2 linked regions of the Oryzias latipes genome follow. The protein of the gene in region 2 purifies or fractionates together with the protein of the main gene of each other region. This does not show direct contact. Links are inferred from orthologs where the notes say so. Each region holds a gene or a part of one and is shown on either strand. Other genes may lie near its edges.

What was found. Proteins that work in one complex are often made in the same cells at the same time.
Region 1: the proteins of angiomotin (region 2) and mpdz purify together in Homo sapiens (affinity purification with mass spectrometry; 4 studies listed by BioGRID and IntAct, with this or other methods). This does not show direct contact. The link is inferred for Oryzias latipes from reciprocal best matches to the Homo sapiens genes AMOT and MPDZ.

Annotation. Positions count from the first base shown.
Region 1 is NC_019876.2:9,319,357-9,323,010, reverse strand, and holds part of mpdz (multiple PDZ domain protein), read right to left. Parts: intron 3,213-3,654; coding exon 2,999-3,212; intron 2,902-2,998; coding exon 2,779-2,901; intron 2,366-2,778; coding exon 2,171-2,365; intron 749-2,170; coding exon 646-748; intron 1-645. UniProt on the Homo sapiens protein: Member of the NMDAR signaling complex that may play a role in control of AMPAR potentiation and synaptic plasticity in excitatory synapses. Promotes clustering of HT2RC at the cell surface.
Region 2 is NC_019872.2:12,821,589-12,825,242, reverse strand, and holds part of angiomotin, read left to right. Parts: intron 1-1,283; coding exon 1,284-2,301; intron 2,302-3,398; coding exon 3,399-3,654.

The DNA.
Region 1 (3,654 bases), on a different chromosome or scaffold from region 2:
TAGCCCTGCATGGCAAAAAACAAAACAAATTCCTAAGGTAAAAATGCCAACATTTGTTAAAAATTGTCACAATAAGATCTCATGAGGACTATTTTACCCAATGGAATAAAGGGGGATTTCACCCTTTTTACTTTCACTAAGAAAATGCGCATCAGGTCATCGACGTAGCAGTAAACTGAGCTAGAAATGATCAAATAAATAATTTGGCATTAGCATTGGGAGATAATAAAAAACGTAACAAGTAAAACCTCATTGGGTCAGTAGTTTGAAGCTCCAACTTTACAAACCTGGTGGGATGGACAGTTAGCACATCTTTTAAGTACTAGAAATTTCCTTTTAAAATTGGTCACATGACCTGGACTCTTGGGAATCCAAATCCTCAAGGTTTACCCACAGATTCTAATAACAGCAGCAAAAATAAAAAAAGCCTTTACGCAAAAACAGGCGGCCTTAGGTTGATAGACTTACACTAAACCAATCACAGTTTGCCTGATTTTCTATCGTGTTTATCATTTAAATGAAGTGAAAAGAATCCTGACTCACAAACCATTCAAATCAACCAGAGAAGAGGGTTAACTAGAATATCAGCATGTGAGGAATTCAATTTACTGCATGTGTCTTTAAACGTGTATTTTGAACCCTCACCTGAATTTTTATCGCCCACGTAGCCGGCAATGGTGATCCCCAGTCCCTGTGCGTTCTTGGTGAGGCACACGTTGAAGCTTTCGGCCTCCTCTTCCTCGTCAGCCTAAGGCGGGATCATTAAATCAACAACAGTATTGACATTTAAACCAAAACCCATAGTAAATGTAATGTGCCGAATAGCCTTGTTGATGTGGGTTTTAGCCTTGGTCAGTGAGCACTCTGAACCTGAGAAGGTGTGCATTTGGAGGTGTAGGATAATGGCTTCTGTGAGTCACTGACATTCAGCCACAGAGATGATTGTACAAGAATAAAACGCTCTTGAAACCTTCAGTTGTTCTGATTCATATTTATAAAGCTATTTCCTGTAGCACGATAAAAAAACCACAACAATGAAATCTATATGTACCACACATGCACCAGATTGGTTTATTTTCAAAATGATGTCATGCATAAGGCCCTATAAGAGGCATCAAGCAAGACAAAAGTCACAGATGAATCTGTCAGTCAGAGTTTATTAACTATGTTCACAGTAACGCTAGAATTTGCTTGTAATACGCTAAACTACGACCCATTAGAAGCGTTAGGCCCTTTAGCATATTCACAATCAATACCTTTAACTCCCAATCTTGTTTGCGACCCGTAAAAATTACAGTCCAACACCACACCGCTACATGGTAGCTGAGTTAGCCTATTCAAAGAAACACCAAATGGACCCTTAGGGGGGTTGACCCATTATGTGCGGGGGGGGGGGGGGGGGGGGGGGATTCCGTAGAGGGTCACAAAGAGGTGCTGGTGCATCTTAAGGACTTAAGGGGAGCACAGGTGTGTCTTACAGTTCCCTGGAGGCTTGTGTTGCCAACTCAATAGACGTCACGAAAATGATATGTACCATTGTCGTGTGTGTTGTAAGTGTGTTGTGAAGTATTTGTAAGGGTAATGTCGTACAGGTGATGTTGTCGTACGGTACCCTTTGCGCAGGATTTCACCCTTCAGTAAGGTACGTGCACTGGCTCCATACTGACTGCATGCAAATGCTGTACACATGTAGTGTGCAGGTGATCCGCAAGTACACATAGGATCCCCGTAAGATACCATCACAAACAATGCCCTGATTTCCTAATTTGGTCATTTTTATTTGGTCAAGGGACGCGCCGGAGGCACACAAGGAGAGCACACTTTTTACGTGAACAGTACTAACATGCTCCTTGCACAGGGTTGGGGGGTGGGGGGGGGGGTTGTAGAACCTGCCTGTGTCTCACCTACTTCCCTGTCACTTACCCTTGAGTGTTGTTTAAGTTTTTGATACTACCTACAGCCCAAAGCATACGTGTAGAACATGTAGAAACGTGTACAAAACAATGTGCATGAACATTTTTCACCGAGCGTTCTACGGGTTTGATAGTTCCTGCGGGCCACCTACGGGTACAGGTTTGACCACTATAGTGCGGAATATGAAATAGTACATAAATTGCATTGAATATTAGTCCTTTTTTTGGTTAAACTCGACTTTGTTTTGTTTTGGTACCTGTTGTTCACTGACGGTAGGAAGCACTACTGACATGACCGCAGATGGCGTTTCCTCCACCGGAGCCCTGGTCACAACCAGCTTAACTCTGTTGCCACACTGCCGAAGGACCTGCGCCACCTGCTCGCTTCCCATCCCGTGGAGGTCGGTGTCCCCAATTCTTAGGATGTGGTCTCCACTGCGCAACCGTCCGTCCTTTCAACACACAATCAACATTAGCCTGGTTCAAAAATCATGACCAAATTTAGTGTTGGGTTTATTGTCATAGTGCCACTTCTGGAGAGGTCACATGGACAAGAAACACTTTTTAGTTTTATTAGACCCTTTAACATCAGAGCTTTATATACTTTTGACTACTGTAACTCTTCAACCGTTTCAGCAATTAACATATTTCCAGCGGATTCTGAAGCAGAGGAAAAACTGCTTTGCGCTGGTATGCAACACTTCACAGGAGTGAGAGCTTACGCATTTAACATAACTCCAACGTGAGATTTCGTTAATTGCATCAATGGTCAAAGAGCTGCACTAGTTCAAAGAGTGTGTTATTTAGGTGTCGCCGGCAATATCTCCTGTGTTGAAGGGTTAACTTCTAAATTTAGGTTGGTCACCTGGTCAGCTATGCCTCCAGGAAGAATAGTTTTGACGATGACCCCTGTAGTCTTTCCTCCAACAATACCGAACCCAAGACCGGTGCCATCGTTCACCAGCTCAATTGTCTCCACATGTTGCCACTAGAACAAAAGCACAAAAACCCATATTTACCTTGACCCCTTTGTTTGATTACTGTACTTAATTTTACCGACCGGCCCAAAATGTTTGTTAACGTACCGCGCTGGAGTTGGCTGACAGAGTACTGGCGGCAGACGGCGTGCGGGACACGATGGGACTTGTCAGCTGGGGTATTGGGCCCCGAGCCACTGTCAGATGCACTCTCTCGGACGCACTCTGCAGGAGACCGATGGCTTGCTGGTGGCTCACTGTCTGATCGAGGGGCTGACCATTGATGGCCAAGATCTGGTCGGCCTCCTTCAGCTTTCCATCGCTGATGGAACCACAGGCGGTGAAGAGAAAAAGGGTTTTGCAATTCCTTTATTTAGGTATTTTTTGAGGCTGAAGAAAAAACTTTAGCCTGCAGTTTGTCCCTTTAAATTGGACTTTTGTATTTCATAGCAACAAATTTGTATTACGGTAGTTTGGGATTAAATGGCATTTTTGAATGAAAAAACAAAATTTCGATTTGTGCTTAAAACTGGTCCAGTTTTGATGTTAAGTCAACATACAAGAAAGTTCTGCGGCGCATTTTGGATTCCAACGTGCATTTAAATTTTCGCCTGTGGTGCGATGTCTTCAGAGTTCTATCTAAACTTTGGTGATAACTCTGCATCACGTCAACCAATCAGGAGCCCAGCTTTAGTGGTAACGTGCTTATTCTGTTATCAGCAACTGAAAATCAACTTCCGGAGAAGCTGATTGTTGGGATTTGG
Region 2 (3,654 bases):
AAATGCTATTTTGAGATACATTTCCTTTAAATGTCCTCCATCATCAGAAAAAAATGCCAAAAGAACACAACAAAAAAACAAAAAACACAATTTTCATTGGAGTGGGTCTTTAAGTTGGCTGTCTGTTGATCCACTGGAGTAACATGACACAGAATAGACAGACAGAAATGCTGTTTGGAGAAATCCCAAAAGGATTTATGCTTGCATCCTCCACATGTATTCCAGCTATCACTGTTTTAAACAGATCATCTAATAATTGTAAAATTAGGGGTTATTCCCAGAAAAATTCACATTCTTATATAGTTTCTGCCAAAAACGTCCACCGACTGGCCTGCAGTATTTTGTTGAGAACACCAGAGAACAGTGTTATCTTTTCTGAGAAATAAAAAAAAAAGCTGCTTGTGAACCTCTCCTGCAAAGCATCTCTATCAAAGGAAAACAGGGCTTCAGGTCATGTGTGAAAATGGCTTTAAGATGCTTTTTTATGTCTACATTTTCATGGAAATTGTTATTTGTGATATCCTTGTGTTTAAAATAGTGATCCACTGCAAAAACGGCATCTTATTTAAAAAAAAATCTGCCATTAATTATGAAAAAATAAAATGTGTGCTTTTATTTTGTTGATCAACTTGCTTCCTTTTCGATCAACAAATAAAGGCTCTTGAGTTTGTAAAAAAATTGGCGAGGCGTTCACAGACAATTTAAAATAACATGTGGGGTGAGAATTTTAGTTAGTTCTAAGGAGTCTGTTTTCGCAGATGTTTGTCATATTTTCAATAGAATTCTGGTTTCAAGCTATATCAGGAAATAGTAAGCAGTTAAATTAAGAGAAAATGAAATTACTGTTATTGGGTTATATTATTTTATGCTGAGATTAAAATTAGTTTGATATTTTTGCTGTCATTTAAGGATTTTAAAGATTTTTTGCCTTTCATCCTTTAGCTGTTTCATCTCTGATCTGTGGTTGTTGCTATGAGTTACGGTCATCGATTTGAAGGAAACTCTTGATGTTTTGTGGTGTTTGTCACCTGGGTTTGATGGTGCAGGATTTTTCTGATGTTGGTATTCTGTGCTTTTTCAGAAAGTGTTCTTCATCCATGTTATGTTTTTTGTGGTAGGGGAATCGGTGGCTATGGACGGTCCGTCTGCATCTTTAAGCTTTTCTTTTCTGCGTTTGTTTCTCCTTGAATCTCCGCGCTTTTGCCTCTTTGTTTGTACCAAACCGTTAACCGTTTCCCCTCCATTTCCTCATTCTTTATTGCACTTTCTCTTTCCCCGCTTAGGGATTATTGACAGAGGGCGGAGCTTGTCTTTCCATGAGGTTGGTGGCCAGCGGGAGCGAGAGATGAGGGCCGCCGCTGACGAGTCTTCAAACAGCAGCAACAGCGTCGGAAGTGGCGGCAGCACGGTCCTGCAACGCCTCCTGCAGGAGCAGATGAACCGCAACTATGTGCTGCAACAGCAGCAGCAACAGTCTGGGGGAGGAGGTGGAGGGGCAGGAGGTGGAGGTGGTAGTGGAAGCGGTGGGGGTTATTCTGTACAGGGACAGGTGAGCCCCTCTGACGACCATTCCATGGCGTCCCACATCGCGCGACAGGAACCGCAAGGGCAGGAGCTACAGACAGACAACGGCCTGGAGAAACTGGGCTCCACTAGAGCAGGAGGAGGTGGTGGGAGCAGTGGGGGGTGTGTGGGGACTTGTGGAGGTGGCGGCAGCAGCCAGGGACAGTGCCAGAACCCTGAAGATCTCCCCACATACGAAGAGGCTAAAGTGCAGTCTCAGTACTTCCGAGGTCATGGTCCTCCTCCTCCTCAGCCTCAGCAGCACACTAGTCAACCCCAGCAGCCCCCGCTGCCCTCCTCTGTGGGAGCTGCCTTCTACGTCACTGGGGTGACCAGCGCAAAGGTGCGCACCTCCGAGGGTCGCCCCACGTTGCAGCGAATCAACGGCGCTGGAAAGGTGCACCAGGATGACGCGCTGAAGGATCTGAAACAAGGACACGTTCGCTCTCTCAGCGAACGACTCATGCAACTCTCCTTGGCCACCAGTGGTGTGAAGGCTCACCCCCCGGTGAATAGCACCCCACTATCACCCCACTGCCCCCCTCCAGGGCAACCGGGGGATTACTACAAGCCACAGCACCGGGGCCCGCCTCCAGACTACCCCTTTAAAGCCTTCGGTTCCCCGTCCAAGCAGCAAGAACCTGTGGGCCATTTTTACACAGAGCAAAGAGGGAGGGAGCACTCCCGGGAGGTACCAAACGTTCGATACCAGCCCCCACCGGAGTATGGCTCATTCAGGTGAGAAATGCAAACGTGCAATTTTGAGCCCCACTTTACGTAACACGCATCAGAACTCCAGCTAGGTTCTGCTTCATGTGGCCCAACTTCACTGAGGTCAGCTGTGTGAGAAACACCAGTAAATACATTCCAGTTAATTAATTTAAAGATCCACTCTGATAATCTTTTGCTAGATTTTAAAATTTTTCAGTTTTTTGCCCAAATAAAAAAAAAACTTTTCTCTGTCTCCTGCTAGCTTACAGCCCCTCACAGCCCCAACTAACATTATAAGTGCAACAAAAATGGTGAGCAGTATTGGAGCTCGATGTTAGCTAGGACGTACATGAACCTACATGGATCTAGAATCAGAATGGAGCAGAGCAGGGAGCTTGTTTGTGTTCTATGTAACAAATACGATCTTTTCAAACGTCATTTTTTTGTCTGCTCCTGATTCAAAACAATTTGAATGAAGAAATACTTAGAAACTCAATTTTAAGCTTAATTTTATTTATATATGTCCTCCATATACAGAAAAATGTTGTTATCGTCAAGAAGAATGTTAAAAAAACAACACAATTTTCATCAGAGTTGGTCTTTAAAGGCCCAAAAACAAAAAAAAAAAGAACATTGAAAATGAGATCAGGCTGGCAAACCTCCGGCGGGATTTCTCAACAGGGTTTTTGGAAACACCGAGATCCAGTCGAGCTGGTTTTATGTTAGTTATTGCTATTTCCCTCAGAGTGTAACAGCTACAAATTCCTCACAATTTTAATCATCGGGACAGGACAAGCCGGGACACGAGGCGTTCATATTGATGACATTCCTGTGGGGATTAAGGGCAGTGTCATTCGTGCCGTTTCATCCTGATGTTCCAAAACGCCTGGGTTCTGACCTGGCACTTAAAAACAAAGACGTTTTTTACTTTTATGGCCCAAATTCATGAACAAATGATGAAAACAACGCCCCCCCTTAAATTCCCAAAATTTCCATGTTTTAAAAATAAAAAAGACATTTAAAGAGTCAAATTTAATTTTACGCTTTTTTCCAATTTGAGGTAACATAGAAATAAACAGTTAGTTTCAATCAATTTGTCATTTAATAGCTTGATGTCTCCTCAGATCCAGTAAGGAGGGTTCGGTTCACTACCAGAGGTCGCTTCACCACCACAGTCCCACCTCCTCCGTCACCTCTGTTGGCTCCTTGTCACGCGCCCAGTCCTCCACCCTCAGCAGCATGCTGTCTGCCTCCCACTCCTCGCATCCGTCCTTCCCCCACCAGCAGTCTCTTGGGGAGCCTCACCACATGTCTGGACCTCGTAGTCCACATGGCACAGGCTCCCACCAAGGAGCCGAGCCAGGCATCCAAGGTCCAGGT